Macaca mulatta: one gene and its partner. The protein of the gene in region 1 purifies or fractionates together with the protein of each later gene. This does not show direct contact. Links are inferred from orthologs where the notes say so. Each region holds a gene or a part of one and is shown on either strand. Other genes may lie near its edges.

Region 1 (9,806 bases):
AAGTGGAACCTTTGGCAGGGCGCCTACAGCTCGGGTTTTCAGAGGACCTGGCAGAACCTGGCCAGACACAGACGTAGCATTCCACTGTCCACCCTTTCCTTTGGCCCACTGGGCCCCAAACCAGGTATCTGAGGCACCTGGTCAAAGTTCTGCTGGCTCAGGTTGCCAGAAGTTTCAGACCTTTATCTCCTCTTACCCATTAATTGAAGCTTTGGAAAGGCTACAGTTGCCAGAAAGAAAGGCACAAGTATGCCTCACTCAATCTGGATCTCCAGATCCCTGCAGGCTGGTTTGGAGGTCCTTTCTGAAGGCGGGGAGGTGGTTGAAATTAACTTTTGAGGCCCTTTTGGGAAACCAGAGTTCTCAAGTTTATCCAACTCCATGGGAGTTCTAACTCCTCTGAGATGATAAGTCTTCCCTCCACCCAAAAATGTATCTGAGACATCAGCCCCAGTAAATAGATCACTCATGTGTATTGTTTTTCTCTCTTGGACCTAGGCTACCTCCGGGATGTGACAGGCAACTACACGGCTTCTTTTGTGGTGGCTGGGGCCTTCCTTATTTCAGGGAGTGGAATTCTCCTCACCCTGCCCCACTTCTTCTCCTGCTTCTCAACTACTACCTCCAGGCCCCAGGACCTTGTAACAGAAGCACCGGATATTAAAGTTTCCCTACCGAAGGAGGGGCTGGAAGAGGACTGAACTTCACAGAGTCAGGCCCGGAAAGCCAGAGCTTGACAGCTCCAGGTCTTCTCTTGCCACGTCTTGGTCTCCACAGAACCACAGTGCCTTAAGATTCTCCATCTGCCTCCCCCTAGAGCAGGCCTGGGGCTCCTGCAATGTGTGTGCCAACCCTTTGTATTTTTGTATTTTGTTGAGGACTCTTATTTATCCTCCTTTACTGTCCTAACATTTTCTTTTTTTTCTTTTTCCCGAGATGGAGTCTTGCTCTGTTGCCCAGGCTGGAGTGCAGTGACATGATCTTGGCTCACTGCAACCTCCGCATCCCGGGTTCAAGTAATTCTCCTGCCTCAGCCTCCCAAGTAGCTGGGATTACAGGTGGGAGCCACCGCTCCTGGCTATTTGCCTTTTTTTTTTTTTTTTTTTTTGTATTTTTGGTAGAGACGGGGTTTCGTCATGTTGGCCAGGATGGTCTCGAACTCCTGACCTTGTGATCCACCCTCCTCAGCCTTCCAGAGTGCTGGGATTACAGGCATGAGCCACCGCACCCAGCCTTTCCTAACCTTTTCTAAAGGACCCAGGAGTTTTAAAGGATCCGGGAGTTCCTGCTTCACTGAGTGTGAATCAACTGTGAAAATCAAAGGCCAAGAGACTTACCATGTTTTATATACCATCTCTAGTGTTGCCTCCCAAGTTTCTTCTCTGAAGATATATGTTTGGGAAACATGACTGTCTCTTTGAGATAAAATCAAGTAAGAAAAATAGATAATAATCACAACCTCAGAATGAGCTGGGGCCCGTATGCTTGGGTTGGCCAAATGGTGTCATGCCTGGAAGTGGAGGAGGATGTCCAGGAGCTCTGATGACCCAAGGCATTTTAACCCTGGACTCTGTTCTCCAGGCCGCCACCACATACCTCCCTCTTGCCCATTATCCCTGTGGCTTAGAAAAGAAATTGAGGGCCGGACGCAGTGGCTCTCACCTGTAATCTCAACACTTTGGAAGGCCGAGGCGGGTGGATCACGAGGTCAGGAGTTTGAGACCAGCCTGGCCAACATGGTGAAACCCCGTCTTTACTAAATACAAAAATTAGCCGGGCGTGGAGGCATGTGCCTATAATCGCAGCTACTGGGGAGGCTGAGGCAGGATAATTGCTTGAACCCGGGAGGCGGAGGTTGCTGTGAACCAAAATTGCACCACTGCACTCTAGCCTGGGCGACAGAGCAAGACTCTGTCTCAAAAAAAAAAAAAAAAGAAAGAAAAAGAAAGAAAAGAAATTGAGAGAATGCTGAGGGCACAGGTTATAGATGTGTGGATAGCTTTGGTAGAACTGAAGTCTGAGCCTAGGATTCTTGTATTTCCCTCAGGGTCATAGAAGGAGATTGAAATGCAGGGAAGAGTTAGTCTGGGAGGTCTGGGGACTAGGGTAAGGGACATGAAGATGGGGCAGATAGCACCCACGAGCAACCCACCTCCAACCCCAGCAACACACTGAAACCGGCTGCCAGACAACTTTGCAAAGATTCCCTGTTCCGGCCAGGACTTGGGCAAAGAGAAATGGGTTGCCTGGACAGACAGTCGCCCTTCTTCATACCCAGGGCCTCCTGGGATCCTGTTCCTTTGAACCAGCCTTTCTGGCTGTCTTAAGTAGAATATTTTCAGGGTCCTAGATGGGTGAACAGTTGGAGGTTTCAGGAAAACCCAATAAAAATTCTTTATTGGGGGAGGGGCTCAAACAGGAAAATAATCAACAAGTGGTGTCCAGAGTGGAGCGAGGGCCTCCTGGGGACAGCAAGACTGCCTGGGGAGCGGGAAGCAGCTCCCCCCTCTCTGGGGGAGGCGTGGCTGGAGGGGAGGCTGGACCACAGGAGGGCAGCGCCTTGGGCAACCCTATGTAGATGAAGCTGCCGGAGAGGATCAAAGAGCCAGACACCAGGAAAGAGGTGGTGAAGTCTCCTGTCTCATCCCTTAGGAAGCCTGAGGAGATGGGTAAGGGAATTTAGAAGCCCCTAACCCCAGGGGCAGAGGATAGTTGTAGGCAGATCTGCGAGCTCAGGTCCTTACCTGATAGGGGAGGGCCCAGGAGCCCTCCGAGGCTCATCAGCATCATCACCAGTCCCGTGGCCTGCACCACACCTCCGATGCCCACCAGCCCGGGGAGCACACCGAAAACCAGCGGGGCGTAACTGCCCGCGCTCAGCCCATAGGCCACAGCCGCGGCCAGCAGGGGACCCCCCCAACTCTCTTCGCCCCCCACCACGGGCACCAGTCCCACTACCCACAGCCCCAGCCCAGTCAGAGCCCCGAATACGGCCAGCAGCCGCGGGAGAGGCACCCAGCCTTGGTCTGCCAGCCACCCGCAGACCAGCCGGGCGCCCGCATCACCCACCGCAGCCACGGCCACCACCAGCGCTGCCCCGTATCCCCCCAGGCCCCGGTCTAAAGCGTGGGGGGCCAAGTGCACGTAAGGAACGAAGTACCCGCCCCCAACCAGGGCTGTGCCTAGAGCAAAGATCGAGAAGGCCCGGCGTGTGAAGAGTCCCAGGCCGAGGGCAGCTAAGGGACTACGCGGTGGGGCTGGGGGGTCGCCAGGAAGGGCCAGGGGTAGCAGCAGGGCGCCACAAGGAGTGAGGTGGAGGGTGATCGCGCCGAGAAGGAGCAGAGCGCCCCGCCAGCCGAAAGTATCGAGGAGAAGCTGCAAGGCAGGCGCCAGGAGCAGCGAGGAGGCCCCGTTGCCAGTGAGCGCCAGCCCCACCGCCAAGACTCGACGGCGGGAGAAGTAACGCGAGAGGGTGCCTAGGGCAGGGGCGAACACCAGGGCCCAACCAGAGCCTGCGAATGAATGGGAGGGGATGTGGGCCGGCACTGGGGACGCCCTCCCCAGCATTCCCAGTCCTGCTCTCCGCACCAGGCCCTCGCCTCGTTCGCTACCCCAGTCCCATAAGCTCCTGTCCCCAGTTCACCCTGAATGACCCGGGCATCCCCCTTCCCTCACCAGCGAGGAGGCCCAGGCCGAGGTAGAGGTGCAGCAGACTGCGGGCGAAAGCCGAGAAGACGAAGCCCAGCGAGGCGAGGACACCCCCAACCATCACCACCGTGCGGGCTCCCCAGCGCGTGCTCAGGGCGCTGCCCACCGGGCCTGGAAGGGGGCGGAGTCAATAAAAGACACGCCCCCGGGCCCCCAAACTCTCTCCAACACCTCTCATTGGCTGTTTACCTCCCTCGAACTAATGGTTCCTCTCCTTGACCTTAAGATGCACTCTTTTCTAGAGCCGGTCGTCCTTTCTCAGGTTGTCGGGTAATCAGGGGGGTCTCCCATCCCTCCACTCACAGCCCCTCCTCCCCGTTCCCGTCTCTCGCCTCAGAGCCCGCCTCACTGGCTGCCTGCTGCACCGCCAGGGCCAGGGCGCTGATCCACGCAGTGTCCTGGGCGCTTCGGTCAAAGTGCTCGGCAAGGTCAGGGAAGGCAAGGCCCAGCGAGCGCAGCAGCCCGTAGGACAGCCCGTTCACTGCGAAGGCTGCGGCCGCCACCACCCAGCCCCAGCCCCCGTCCGGGGGTCCGGCGGGCTGGGGGGTCATCGCCGTCTGCGGGGGTAGGCAAACACCTGTGAGAGAAGCCTCTACGCCTGTGCTTCCGCTGGGAAGCTGGCATCCCTGAGATCCAGCCTCTGGCTGCTCCCCCGGGGTGGGCGGGTCACCCCGAGCGCGATGGCGCAGAGCAGAGGGAGCCGGAGCCAGGCCTAGGGCTGGAACTCCCGGGTCCGCGCGAGGTACCAGGACGGGGACAGCCAGATCCCCCAGGCCCGGGGCTCCCCGTCCCACGTACACTCCTTCCCCCTTACCCGACCTCTCCGGGCTGTGCGGGGAGGGGAAGGGCGAGGAAGGGCTGGGCCCGGCTTTCTCTCCGCTTCCCAGGCGGGCGGGGGCCCCGAAGGGGAGCGAGAGCAGCGATGGAGCCCAACTTGGACAAGCTCTCTCGGTAAACAGAGATCACCACAGGGGCCCGAGCCACCTGGGACGCCGGGGGTACGGAGGGCGGGGGCGAGCTGAAACAACCAATCAGCCAAGCCGCGGGTGAGGCCAGACACCAGTCCCACGGGGATTGAATTATGTACACACACAACCCCCAGCCCCGGGGAGGGAGTGGAGAGGAATGAATGCCGAGGGGCCCTGCCCTGCTCACACCCATGCACCTGCTGCCTGCTGCGCGCAGGGGAGACACGTGGATTGCAAACCCCAGCGAGCCCGAGCCCGGGGTCCACCGCCAACGCGGGGAAATATGGATGGTCCCAAAAGCCTGAGGGGATGAGTAGTTTTGTTTTCAGGAACATTGCTTAGGACCAGGTAGACCTCGGATATCAGATCACAGACTTCCACTGAGTGCCAGAGCTGTGCTTAGAATAGCAGACCCCCAGGCCGGGCACGGTGCACGCCTATAATACCAGCACTTTGGAAGGCCGATATGGGTGGGTCACCTGAGGTCAGGAGTTCGAGACCAGCCTGGCCAACGTGGCGAAACACCATCTCTACTAAAAAAACAAAGAAATTGGCCAGGCATGGTGGCACGAGCCTGTATTCCTAGCTACTCTGGAGGCTGAGGCAGGGGAATCTCTTGAACCCAGGAGGCAGAAGTTGCAGTAAGCCAAGATCATGCCACTGCACTCCAGCCTGGGCGACAGAGCAAGAGTCTGTCTCAAAAATAAATGAATAAATAAATAAATAAAATAACAGGCCCCCAAGGATAGAGGGTGAAACAGGACTCTCTCAAAGTGAAGACCTGTGATGTGCCAGGCACTGTTTACACATGCTATCATTTCATCTTATAATAACCCTATGAAGAAGTTGTTGCTCTCTTTTATTCATTTATTTTTTTTTAGATGGAGTCTCACTCTGTAGCCTAGGCTGGAGTGCAGTGGCGAGATCTTGGCTCACCACAACCTCTGCCTCCTGGGTTCAAGCGATTCTCCTGCCTCAGCCTCCCGAGTAGCTGGGATTACAGGCACATGCCACCACTCCTGGCTAATTTTTGTATTTTTTAGTAGAGATGGGGTTTCGCCATGGCCAGACTGGTCTGGAACTCATGACCTCAGGTGATCCACCACCTTGGCCTCCCAAAGTGCTAGGATTACAGGAGTCAGCCACCGCGCCCGGCTGGTGTCGTGCCTCTTTTATAGATGCAGTAACTGAAGCTCACAGGGAAAAAATGGTGTGAATATTTGAATTTAGGTCTGTCCAACTGTGGGACCTACAGGGAGAACAATCCTGGAACTGAAACAAAATCTGGCACAGTTAAGAGAAATATCCTGGATACAGCTTGATGCAAACTGCCCTGGAAAGGGCGGAACCATTGCAGGGACAGAAAACACAGGATTCTAAAATAAGGGGTCACTGGGAATAGAAAGGATTCTTGAGATCAGAATCTCTAAACACTTAGGTTAGAATTTTATTTTTTACGTATGTATGTATGTATGTATGTATGTATGTATTTACAGAGACAGGGTCTGGTCCAGGCTGAAGTGTAGTGGTGCCGTTATGGCTCCCTGCAGCCTCGACCTCCCAGGCTCAAGCGATCCTCCAACTCAGCCTCCCGAGTAGCTGGGACTACAGGCTCCACGCCACCATGCCTGGCTAAATTTGTTCATTTTTTGTAGAGAGGGGGTCACAGTATGTTGCACAGGCTGGTCTCAAGCTCCTGGACTTCAGCAATCCTTCCACCTTGGTCTCCCAAAGTGCTGAGATTACAGTCTACCATGCCTGGCCAGGTTAGAATTTTGAAAGCAAAGTAAGAAATCAGGTCATGGAACCCAGGTATTGATTTTTTGAAACACTTTATAGAAAATGTCCTTTTTGACAGGTTGACATTCTTTACCTCAGCTGTTTGAATTCCCAGGTGTGTTCTTTGGTTTAATTATTAAACATAGGATAGAACATTCAGCAACCTAAGTTGGGATCATGCATCCACCGAGCCACATGATGGCAGTGTTTCCTAATTGTTGGGAAAGAATCTGCCTGTAAAGACAAGAAAAACGCTTCTTAAGGAGCGCAACTGTAAACATGAAAAACACAGCATGACCTTCAACGGCTCTCCACTGCCTAAAGAGGGAAAAAATTACATTTCTGTACTCTGTACAGGCCTTTTACAAGAATCAAAGGTAGACCTAGGTTACCGTTCCAAACCGTCTCTCCTCCCTCCCTTTTGCAGCCTCCCATCAGCCACTATCTTCTCTGCTCCATGGACATGCCTAGCTTTTCCTCACTCCTCAATTTTTGCAAATGTCATGCTCTCTGCTTGAAACGTCCTGTTCATGAAGGTCTAAGGTGACAGACACACCTTAGGAAAGTGGCCCCACCGGTTTCCCAGCCCGGAGTGCTGTTGTGAAAGCAGGTCCTCAGCCACCGGGGAGGGCAGGGATCCTGCCTCCTGAGAAGGCTGCTGAAGACTCTGCTCCAAGCTAAACGAATCACCGTCTCCCCATGGTGAGGCAGAAATGCAGGGCACTCAGAGCGAAGACCGGGCCCTCTGCGTCTGGGAGTTGTGCTAAGTGATGCTGAGCACCTTCGCAGGATGCTTACGAAGCCAGAAGGGTATCCTAGAGCCTGGGACTGGGGCTGTGCAAGGGTACATTCCTCTTCTACCTCAGGCTCCCTATATTCTTAGCAAAACTTGTCATCTTTTGCTGACGGAATAAAATAGCACAGAGATTAGGAGAATAGACTCCCAAGTTAGATTTCCTGGGGTTGAATTCCAGCTCTACTGTAGGATCCAGCCCTACGGGGCTTAGGGGGTGTTCTCCCCGTGTGCGGAGATGAGACTGTAATAAATACACAAGACAAAGAGATAGAAGAAAAGACAGCTGGGCCCTGGGGACCACTACCATCAAGACATGGAGATCAGTAGTGACCCAGACCGGCTGGGCGTGCTGATATTTATTGCATACAAGATAAGGGAGCAGGGTAAGGGGCATGGATCTTCTAAGTGATTGACAAGGTGAAGCAAGTCACATGATCACAGGACAAGGGTCCCTTCCCTTTTAGGTAGCCGAAGTAGAGATGGAGAAGGCAACATACGTCAGCGTTTTCTTCTATGCACTGATAAGAAAGATCAAAGACTTTAAGACTTTCACTATTTCTACCTCTATCTACTACGAACTTCAAAGAGGAACCAGGAGTACAGGAGGAACATGAAAGCGGACAAGGAGCGGTGACCATTGAAGCACAGCACCACAGGGAAGGGTTTAGGCCTCCGGATGACTGCGGGCAGGCCTGGATAATATCCAGCCTTCCACAAGAAGCTGGTGGAGCAGAGTGTTCTCTGACTCCTGCAAGGAAAGGACACTCCCTTTCACCGTCTGCTAAGTAATGGGTGTCTTCCCAGACACTGGCGTCTCTGCTTGACCAAGGAGCCCTCAAGCAGCCCTTATGTGGGCGTGACAGAAGGCTCACCTCTTGCCTTCTAGGTCACTTCTCACAATGTCCCTTTAGCACCTGACCCTACACCCGCCGGTTATTCCTAGGTTATATTAGTAATGCAACAAAGAGTAATATTAAAAGCTAATGATTAATAATGTTTATAATAATGACTGATAATTGTCCATGATCATCTCTATATCTAATTTGTATTATGACTTTTTATTCTAACTATTTTCTTTATTATACTGAAACAGTTTGTGCCTTCAGTCTCTTGCCTCAGCACCTAGGTAATCTTTCGCCCACATTCTACTACTTAGTAACTATATGATCATGAGCAAGTGTGACTCAATCTCTCTGTGCCTCAGTTTCCTCATTTCTACAATGGGGATAATAACAGTAGCTACCTGATGGGTTGTTATAAGAATTAAATGAGTCACTGTGAATACATATATAAGTAAGTAATGTAGAACGGTGCCCAAATATGACATGTGTTAGAGCTCATTGTCGCTATTTTCTTTTTTCTTTTTTTTTTTTTTTTTGAGATGGAGTCTTGCTCTGTCACCCAAGCTGGAGTGCAGTGGCCTGATTTCTGCTCACTGCAAGCTCTGCCTCTCGGGTTCATGCCATTCTCCTGCCTCAGCCTCCTAAGTAGCTGGGACTACAGGCGCCCACCACCATGCCCAGCTAATTTTTTGTATTTTTTTAGTAGAGATGGGGTTTCACCATGTTAGCCAGGATGGTCTTGATCTCCTGACCTTGTGATCTGCCCGCCTCAGCCTTCCAAAGTGCTGGGATTACAGGCATGAGCCACCACGCCTGGCCTCTTTTTTTTTTTTTTTTTTTTTGAGACAGAGTCTCACTCTGTTGCCCAGGCTGGAATGCAGTAGCACAATCTAGGCTCACTGCAACCTCTGCCTCCCAGGTTCAAGTGATTCTCCAGCCTCAGCCTCCCAAGTAGCTGAGATTACAGGTGCCCGCCACCACATTCAGCTAACTTTTTTGTATTTTTAGTAGAGACGGGGTTCCACTATGTTTGCCAGGCTGGTTTTGATCTCCTGATCTTAAGTAATCCACTCACCTTGGCCTCCCAAAGTGCTGGAATTACAGGTATGAGCCACTGCACCCGGCCTCCATTGCCGCTATTGCTGTGAGTTGAGGAACCTGGCTGGACCCAACAGCACCGCAGCCCTTCCCCACCTGGCTACTCCTGCTAATGCCTCAAGGTCAATGCAGCACATTGCCCTGGTAAGTTCTCAGTAGCGCCACATGGGTTATAAAATGTGAATGGCTATAAAGAGATTCAGTGGAAATTTCTGCTTTTCTTTTTTTTTTTTCCTTTCTTTTCCCTTAGCATTTTCCAAAGTTTGTGCAAAAATGGTGGTCTCCCTGTCTTAACTCTAAAAACAAAAGAGAAGGCCAGGTGCAGTGGCTCACACCCATAATCCCAACACTTTGGGAGGCCCAGGCAAATGGATTACTTGAGGTAAGGAGTTTGAAACCAGCCTAGCCAACCAACATGGTGAAACTCTGTCTATACTAAAAATATAAAAATTAGCCGGATGTGGTGGCGCATGCCTATAATCCCAGCTACTTGGGAGGCTGAGGCAGGAGAATCACTTGAACACAGGAGGGGAGGTTGCAGTGAGCTGAGATCATGCCACTGCACTCCAGCCTGGGCAACAAGAGCAAGAATCCGTCTCAAAAAAATTAAATAAG
Region 2 (9,706 bases), on another chromosome or scaffold:
GATTTTTTTTTTTTTTTGTGAGACAGGTCCCTGCTTTATCATCCTGCCTGGAGTGCAGTGGTGCCACCTTAGCTCACTGCAGCCTCAACTCTTGGGCTCAAAATATCCTCCCACCTCTGCCTACGACTAGATGGGACCAAAGACATGCACTATGAAGCCTGGCTAATTTTTTCATTTTTTTTTTTTTTTTTTTCCCAGAGATGAGGTCTCACCATGTTGCCCAGGCTGGTCTAGAACGCCTGTGCTCAAGCAATCCCACACACCTCAGCCTCCCAAATTACTGGGATTACAGGCATGAACCACTGCACCTGACCATTTTATTTGAGTTGTATTATTTTTCTTTCTACATTTGGCTCTGCATAGTCCATTTAATCATACTATACCATTGTTGAGAATGAGAAGAGCGTGAGAAATTTGTATGATGCACTACCGTCTTCCAAACACAACTCTTTCTCTTCCCCTTAAGAGTAATTACCACTATTCTGATTTTTATGCAGTTACTTTCTTGTTTTTCTATATTGTTTTATTACCCAGGTATGCATCCCTAAATATTACAGTTCAGTTTTGCTTTTCTTTTAATGGAATTTTTTGAGTATCTTATAATCTTCAGGTGCCCGAAACATAGCACCTGACGTCCAATACAAAGACATCTCTCTCCCTTTTAAAATTTATGTGTTGAAAAAACCAGGCTGGGTGCGGTGGCTCATGCCTGTGATCTTAGCACTTTGGGAAGCTGAGGCAGGCAGATCACGTGAGGTCAGGAGTTCAAGACTAGCATGACCAACATGGTGAAACCCCATCTCTACTCAAAATACAAAAAAATTAGCCAGGCTTGGTGGCGGGTGCCTGTAATCCCAGCTACTTGGGAGGCTGAGGCAGGAGAATCTCTTGAATCCGGGAGGTGGAGCTTGCAGTGAGCCGAGACAGCACCATTGCACTCCAGCCTGGGCAACAAGAACGAAACTCCATCTCAAGCAAACAAACAAAAAAGACAGAAAAAGAAAAAAAACAGATCATTTATTTTGTAGAATTTTCGCAGAATCTGGATTTTGTTGATTACTTTCATGAAATGTAGGTTAATGTGTTCTTCCATAATCCATATTTCCTGTAAACTGAGAATTGAATCCAGAGACTTAACCAGTTTGAAGAACCTCCTCAGCACCTTTTCTGACAAGACCGTATCCTAGGTAGTGGGGTATTCTTCCTCAAGAGAGACATAATTCTGTTTTTGAAATTATTGCCCCAGTTGATGCAAAATGCCTAGATTCATGATTTACTAGGGATTGCATCATCATTATGGTATATTTGTATGATTTCTTTTTTATTCATTTGCTGGAATTTTTCTATAAAGAGAACATTGACTTTCTCTACTGTTTGGTTAGCCAGTGATACAGTTAGTGTAGGACAAACAAGGTACATGCTGAACGTTTTTTTTTTCTTTTTTCTTTTTTTTTTTTTTTGAGACGGAGTCTCGCTCTGTCGCCCAGGCTGGAGTGCAGTGGCCGGATCTCAGCTCACTGCAAGCTCCGCCTCCCGGGTTTACGCGATTCTCCCGCCTCAGCCTCCCGAGTAGCTGAGACTACAGGCGCCCGCCACGTCGCCTGGCTAGTTTTTTTGTATTTTTTAGTAGAGACGGGGTTTCACAGGGTTAGCCAGGATGGTCTCTACTCCTGACCTCGTGATCCGCCCGTCTCGGCCTCCCAAAGTGCTGGGATTACAGGATTGAGCCACCGAGCCCGGCCTGAACATTTTTTCTTTATTTGCCACTGTTCAAAATTAAAGTAAGCTTTTTTATATTTTCCGTAAGAGTGTGTGTGTGTGTGTGTGTGTGTGTGTGTGTGTGTGTGTGTGTGTATGTATTATCGGAGAGTTAGTGGTTGGGAACCTGAGGGTTAAACTGAAGAAAGAAAAGACAAGTAGAGGCTCTTACTGCTCTTGTTCTAGTGCACCCCTTATTTTATTTTATTTTTTTTTTAACCAGTATCCCAGATTGGATACTGGTGGAAAAAAAAAGAGCTCGTACTTACCTGCTGGGTCAGAGGTCCTGAAATCTCAGGCTTTGGAAATGGGGTTGGAGTGGAAGGGTGGGGAGTCCTAACCATTCCGTATTCCTTGCCAAACTGTCAAGGAGAACTTTTTTCTATATAATTTCAGGCTCAGTGAATTAAACTGACAAAAGATAGATTAACAGAACAAAAAACATACTTAATCACATGTGGACAAAAGTTAGAAAAACATGTAGCTCAAAGGGGCAGTTAAAAGTAGGGGCTTATATACCATCTTAGTAGGGTAAGAAGAGGAGGAGAAAGGCCTTTTATGGAAAAACAAATGAGTTTTAGGAAAGATAAATGAGCCCTTTAGATAACAGGTGGAAGATATGATAGTTTTGTGACAGTGTCTGTTTAGGTGTGGTGTGAAGACTTCTCATCTTCAGTGATAAGAGTCCATTGTCCCTGTTGCTGCTAGGGAGGGGATTTATGACAATAGAGGTTTTTTGGAGTTGCTTTGAAAGGCTCTGCTTTTAGTCAGAGTAGCTATTTTAGGAACTCAAATGCCTTCTCAAAATAATTTGTATGCTATCCTGGCATATTCTGGACCCCTTCAGTGTGTGTGTGTGTGTGTGTGTGTGTGTGTGTGTGTGTGTGGTGTGTGTGTGTGGTGTGTGTGTGTATTGTTTTCCTTTTAAGATAAACACTTCAACTTGTGTGTGTGTGTGTGTGTGTGTGTGTGTGTGTGTGGTGTGTGTGTGTGGTGTGTGTGTGTATTGTTTTCCTTTTAAGATAAACACTTCAACTTCCCTAAAGCTTCTCTAAGGGTTAGCTCCTTCTCTTCCCACCTATAGATGGGAAGAGAAATTGAGAACCTTTCAGACTACTTTTTAGGTACAAGTTTTAAAAATTTGCTAAGAGGGAAGGTCTAATGTTAAGTGTTCTTATGATAATCAATCGATCAATCCAAAATAAATAAGATATCTATTTTGAAAGTCAAAAAAAAGATAAACACCTTATGAATTCATACTGATACTGAAATTCAGTTCAAATTCAGAACTACAGGATGCTTATTTAAATTCTCTGTCCTGTACCTATGTCTATATCCAGTCCCTACGGGTTCTTAAGAAGACTAGGAATGGTTAGAATATAATATATCACTCAAATCCATGTTATACAAAAAACATTCTCGTAATAACTACCAACAACATGATTACTCAAAATTATTGAAACAGGCATTCCATTCTCACCCATGAGTGTGTTGTATTTACAGTTGTGCTGTTTTTACACTGTCAGAGCATACAGCACATGTTATTGAGTACTCTGTACCCTATATTCTGCTTATTACAGAGCTTAAGGAGATAACTATCACAGCTTTAGGTTTTTTTTAATTGTGTTAATGTTGGATCAAAACATTTCTTTAGGTGTGCATATAAAAGGGAATAAGAAAGGGAACCAACTATGTTGATAGAGGAATAATTCTTCAAATGAATGAAATTGTCAATAAAACACTTCAGTTAATAATTTAAAAGGTTTTATATATTAGATTCCTCTGAATATAACTTTCACATTTTGTCCTCTTTTGTGCTAATAGAACATTCTAGTATGCCAGTAGAAAAAAATATCACTTTAGAAAGGCCTTCTAATGTAAATCTCACATGCCAGTTCACGACATCTGGGGATTTGAATGCAGTAAATGTGACTTGGAAAAAAGACAGTGAACAACTTGAGAATAATTATCTTGTCAGTGCAACAGGAAGCACCTTGTATACCCAATACAGGTGAGTATACAAATTTTAACCTACCTTGTTTGCCAAAAGTAGCTTAATTCTAAATATTTTTGCTGACTGAGCATTCTTCCCTCTGCAGCCACTTGAATGTTATGCTAATATTCTAATTTGCATATTAACAGAATTATTTCTATTTTAAAATTTTGATTAATGGCTAAGTCTTTTCATTTTCATTAAGAAGGTTTTGAGAACTAAGCCTATATTAATAACTTCAATTATCTTTAGGTTCACCATCATTAATAGCAAACAAATGGGAAGTTATTCTTGTTTCTTTCGAGAGGAAAAGGAACAAAGGGGAACATTTAATTTCAAAGGTCAGTATTAATAGCTTGAGGAATAGTTAATAACTTCAGCACTATGTTCTTAGATTTCTCAATCCTGTAATTTTAAAATTATTTTTACAATAATAAACATAATATAGCTGAAAGTAAGTCATATGCTTTCCAGAGTCACAAGAGGTAACCTTGAAAATGGTCTTGTATCCCCAAGTCAATTTCCTTTCTGCTTCTGTTCCTCGGCTTAAAGCACAGGTTTTAGTTCAAAAGGATAGCCTACCACATTATGAGTGAATTATGAGAGTCACATGAATTTCTTTATTTACACCTCTAAATTCATAGTTTTTATAATAGTCCTCCACATTTCTAAGTTATTGTGGTATCAGCTTCTGAGAGCGTGGGTGGATGTTCTATATCCATAGCTCCATGACATGGGATTTTTTTTTATTATTATTATACTTTAAGTTCTAGGGTACATGTGCACAACGTGCAGGTTTGTTACATATGTATACACATGCTGTCTTGGTGTGCTGCACCCATTAACTCGTCATTTACATTAGGTATATCTCCTAATGCTATCCCTCTCCCCTACCCCTACCCCAGAATAGGCCCCTGTGTGTGATGCTCCCCTTCCTGTGGCAAAGTGTTGTCATTGTTCAGTTCCCACCTATGAGTGAGAACATGCGGTGTTTGGTTTTCTGTTCTTGCGATATTTGCTGAGAATGATGGTTTTGATTTGAAATTGTGGTTTTGATTTGCATTTCTCTGATGGTGAGTGATGATGAGCATTTTTTCATGTGTCTGTTGGCTGTATAAATGTCTTCTTTTGAGAAGTGTCTGTTCAAATACTTTGCTCACTTTTTGATGGGGTTGTTTGTTTTTTTCTTGTAAATTTGATTGAGTTCTTTGTAGGTTCTGGTTATTAGCCCTTAGTCAGATGAGCAGAGTGCAAAAATTTTCTCCCATTCTGTAGGTTGCCTGTTCACTCTGATGGTAGTTTCTTTTGCTGTGCAGAAGCTCTTTACTTTAATTAGATCCCATTTGTCAGTGTTGGATTTTGTTGCCGTTGCTTTTGGTGTTTTAGACATGAAGTCCTTGCCCGTGCCTATGTCCTGAATGGTATTACCTAGGTTTTCTTCTAGGGTTTTTATGGTTTTAGGTCTAATATTTAAGTCTCTAATCCATCTTGAATTAATTTTTGTATAAGGAGTAAGGAAAGGATCCAGTTTCAGCTTTCTACTTATGGCTAGTCAATTTTCCCAGCACCATTTATTAAATGGGGAATCCTTTCCCCATTTCTTGTTTTTGTCAGGTTTGTCAAAGATCAGATGGCTGCAGATGTGTGGTATTATTTTGAGGGCTCTGTTCTGTTCCATTGGTCTATATCTCTGTTTTGGTACCAGTACCATGCTGTTTTGGTTACTGTAGCTTTGTAGTATAGTTTGAAGTTAGGTAGCGTGATGCCTCCAGCTTTGATCTTTTAGCTTAGGATTGTCTTGGCAATGCAGGCTCTTTTTTGGTCCCATATGAACTTGAAAGCATTTGTTTCCAATTCTGTGAAGAAAGTCATTGGTAGCTTGATGGGGATCGCATTGAATCTATAAATTATCTTGGGCAATGTGGCCATTTTCACAATATTGATTCTTCCTATCCATGAGCATGGTATGTTCTTCCATTTGTTCGTGTCCTCTTTTATTTCACTGAGCAGTGGTTTGTAGTTCACCTTGAAGAGGTCCTTCACATCCCTTGTAAGTTGGATTCCTAGGTATTTTATTCTCTTTGAAGCAATTGTGAATGGAAGTTCATTCATGGTTTGGCTCTCTGTTTCACTCTTATTGGTGTATAAGATGCTTGTGATTTTTGCACATTGATTTTGTGTCCTGAGACTTTGCTGAAGTTGCTTATCAGCTTAAGGAGATTTTGGGCTGAGATGATGGGGTTTTCTAAATATACAATCATGTCATCTGCAAACAGGGACAATTTGACTTATTCGTTTCTTAATTGAATACTCTTTATTTCTTTCTCTTACCTGATTGCCCTAGCCAGAACTTCCAACACTGTGTTGAATAGGAGTGGTGAGAGAGGGCATCCCTGTCTTGTGCCAGTTTTGAAAGGGAATACTTCCAGTTTTTGCCCATTAAATATGATATTGGCTGTGGATTTGTCATAAATAGCTCTTATTATTTTGAGATATGTTCCATCAATACCGAATTTATTGAGAGTTTTTAGCAAGAAGGGCTGTTGAGTTTTGTCAAAGGCCCTTTCTGCATCTATGGAGATAATCATGTGGTTTTTGTCTTTGGTTCTGTTTATATGCTGGATTACATTTATTTATTTGCGTATGTTGATCTGCCTTGCATCCCAGGGATGAAGCCCACTTGATCATGGTGGATAAGCTTTTTGATGTGCTGCTGGATTCGGTTTGCCAGTATTTTATTGAGGATTTTTGCATTGATGATCATCAGGGATATTGCTCTAAAATTCTCTTTTTTTGTTGTGTCTCTGCCAGGCTTTGGTATCGGGATGATGTTGGCCTCATAAAATGAGTTAGGAGGATTCCCACTTTTTCTATTGATTGCAATAGTTTCAGAAGGAATGGTACCAGCTCCTCATTGTACCTCTGGTAGAATTCGGCTGTGAATCCATCTGGTCCTGGACTCTTTTTGGTCAGTAGGCTATTAATTATTGCCTCAATTTCAGAGCCTGCTATTGGTCTCTTCAGGGATTCAACTTCTTCCTGGTTTAGTCTTGGGAGAGTGTAAGTGTCCAGGAATTTATCCATTTCTTCTAGGTTTTCTAGTTTATTTGCCTAGAGGCGTTTATAGTATTCTTTGATGGTAGTTTGTATTTCTGTGGGGTCAGTGGTGATATCCCTTTTATCATTTTTTATTGCGTCTATTTGATTCTTCTCTCTTTTCTTCTTTATTAATCTTGCTAGCAGTCTATCAATTTTGTTGATCTTTTCAAAAAACGAACTCCTGGATTCATTGATTTTTTGTGTCTCTATCTCATTCAGTTCTGCTCTGATCTTAGTTATTTCTTGCCTTCTGCTTGCTTTTGAATGTTTGCTCTTCCTTCTCTAGTTCTTTTAATTGTGCTGTTAGGGTGTCAATGTTAGATCTTTCCTGCTTTCCCTTGTGGGCATTTAGTGCTATAAGTTTCCCTGTACACACTGCTTTAAATGTGTCCCAGAGATTCTGGTGTGGTGTATCTTTTTTCTCATTGGTTTCAAAGAACATCTTTATTTCTGCCTTCATTTCGTTATGTACCGAGTAGTCATTCAGGAGCAGGTTGTTCAGTTTCCATGTAGTTGAGCAGTTTTGATTGAGTCCTGAGTTCTAGTTTGATTGCACTGTGGTCTGAGAGACAGTTTGTTGTAATTTCTGTTCTTGTACATTTGCTGAGGAGTGCTTTACTTCCAACTGTGTGGTCAATTTTGGAATAAGTACGATGTGGTGCTGAGTGGAATGTATATTTTGTTGGTTTTTGGTGGAGAGTGTGTAGATGTCTATTAGGTCTGCTTGGTGCAGGGTTGAGTTCAATTCCTGGATATCCTTGTTAACTTTCTGTCTCGTTGATCTGTCTAATGTTGACAGTGGGGTGTTGAAATCTCCCATTATTATTGTGTGGGAGTCTAAGTCTCTTTGTAAGTCTCTAAGGACTTGCTTTATGAATCTGGGTGCTCCTGTATTGGGTGCATATATAGTTAGGATAGTTAGCTCTTCTTGTTGAATTGATCCCTTTACCATTATTTAATGGTCTTCTTTGTCTCTTGATCTTTGTTGGTTTAAAGCCTGTTTTATCAGAGACTAGGATTGCAACCCCTACTTTTTTTGTTTTCCATGTGCTTGGAAGATCTTCTTCCATCCCTTTATTTTGAGCCTATATATGTCTCTGGATGTGAGATGGGTATCCTGAATATAGCAAACTGATGGATCTTGGCTCTTTATCCAATTTGCCAGTCTGTGTCTTTTAATTGGACCATTTAGTCCATTTACATTTGAGGCTAATATTGGTATGTGTGAACTTGATCCTGTCATTATGATATTAGCTGGTTATTTTGCTCGTTAGTTGATGAAGTTTCTTCGTAGCCTCCATGGTCTTTACATTTTGGCATGGTTTTTCCAATGGCTGGTACTGGTTGTTCCTTTCCATGTTTAGTGCTTATTTCAGCATCTCTTTTAGAGCAGGCCTGGCGGTGACAAAATCTCTCAGCATTTGCTTGTCTATAAAGGATTTTATTTCTCCTTCACTTATGAAGCTTAGTGTGGCTGGATATGAAATTCTGGGTTGAAAATTCTTTTCTTTAAGAATGATGAATATTGGCCCCCACTCTCTTCTGGCTTGGAGAATTTCTGCCGACAGATCTGCTGTTAGTCTGATGGGCTTTCCTTTGTGTGTAACCCGACCTTTCCCTCTGGCTGCCCTTAACATTTTTTTCCCTCATTTCAACTTTGGTGAATCTGACAGTTATGTGTCTTGGAGTTGCTCTTCTCGAGGAGTATCTTTGTGGTGTTCTCTGTATTTCCTGAGTTTGAATGTTGGCCTGCCTTGCTAGGTTGGGGAAGTTTTCCTGGATGATATCCTGCAGAGTGTTTTCCAACTTGGTTCCATTCTCTCTGTCACTTTCAGGCACACGAATCAGATGTAGATTTGGTCTTTTCACAGAATCCCATACTTCTTGGAGGCTTTGTTCATTTCTTTTTACTCTTTCTTCTCCAAACTTGTCTTCTCGCTTCATTTCATTCATTTGATCTTCAATCGCTGATACTGTTTCTTCCAGTTGATCGAGTCGGTTACTGAAGCTTGTGCATTTGTCACGTAGTTCTCATGTCATGGTTTTCATCTCTTTCAGTTCGTTTATGTACTTCTCTGCATTGGTTATTCTAGTTATCCATTCTTCAATTCTTTTTTCAAGGTTTTTAATTTCTTTGGCCTGGGTACATAGTTCCTCCTTTAACTCTGAGAAGTTTGATCGACTGAAGCCTTCTTCTCTCAACTCATCAAAGTCATTCTCCATCCAGCTTTGTTCCATCGCTGGGGATGAGCTGCATTCCTTTGGAGGGGGAGATGCACTCTGAATTTTTTAATTTCCAGCTTTTCTGCACTGTTTTTTTCCTAACCTTGTGGTTTTATCTGCCTTTGGTCTTTGATGATGATGTTGTACTGATGGTTTTGGTGTGGGTGTCCTTTCTGTTTGTTAGTTTTTCTTCTAACAGTTAGGACCCTCAGCTGCAGGTCTGTTGGAGTTTGCTTGAGGTCGACTCCAGACCCTGTTTGCCTGGGTATCAGCAGCAGAGCCTGCACAAGATAGAATATTGCTGAACAGCAAGTGTTGCTATCTGATTCTTGCTCTGGAAACTTTGTCTCAGAGGTGTACTCACCTGTGTGAGGTGTGAGGTGTTGGTCTTCACCTAGTGAGGGATGTCTCCCAGTTACGCTGCTCAGGGGTCAGGGACCCACTTGAGCAGGCAGTCTGTCTGTTCTCAGATCTCAACCTCCGTGTTGGGAGAACCACTGCTCTCTTCAAAGTTGTCAGACAGGGACATTACATCTGCAGAGCTTTCTGCTGCTTTCTGTTTATCTATGCCCTCTCCCCAGAGTTGGAGTCTACAGAGGCAGGCAGGCCTCCTTGAGCTGTGGTGGGCTCCTC

Evidence for each region.
Region 2: the proteins of SLC16A11 (region 1) and EMB purify together in Homo sapiens (co-immunoprecipitation; 3 studies listed by BioGRID and IntAct, counting the BioPlex papers as one, with this or other methods). This does not show direct contact. The link is inferred for Macaca mulatta from reciprocal best matches to the Homo sapiens genes SLC16A11 and EMB.

The regions. Positions count from the first base shown.
Region 1 is NC_133421.1:8,514,434-8,524,239, forward strand, and holds SLC16A11 (monocarboxylate transporter 11), read right to left. Parts: upstream 4,838-9,806; 5' UTR 4,523-4,837; intron 4,266-4,522; 5' UTR 4,260-4,265; coding exon 4,058-4,259; exon of another isoform or gene 3,898-4,057; intron 3,820-3,897; coding exon 3,676-3,819; intron 3,513-3,675; coding exon 2,745-3,512; intron 2,658-2,744; coding exon 2,428-2,657; 3' UTR 2,370-2,427; downstream 1-2,369. Other genes in the region: SLC16A13 (monocarboxylate transporter 13), read left to right, coding at 499-701. UniProt on the Homo sapiens protein: Proton-linked monocarboxylate transporter. It catalyzes the transport of pyruvate across the plasma membrane.
Region 2 is NC_133411.1:58,040,628-58,050,333, reverse strand, and holds part of EMB (embigin), read left to right. Parts: intron 1-3,582; coding exon 3,583-3,769; intron 3,770-4,003; coding exon 4,004-4,092; intron 4,093-9,706. UniProt on the Homo sapiens protein: Plays a role in the outgrowth of motoneurons and in the formation of neuromuscular junctions.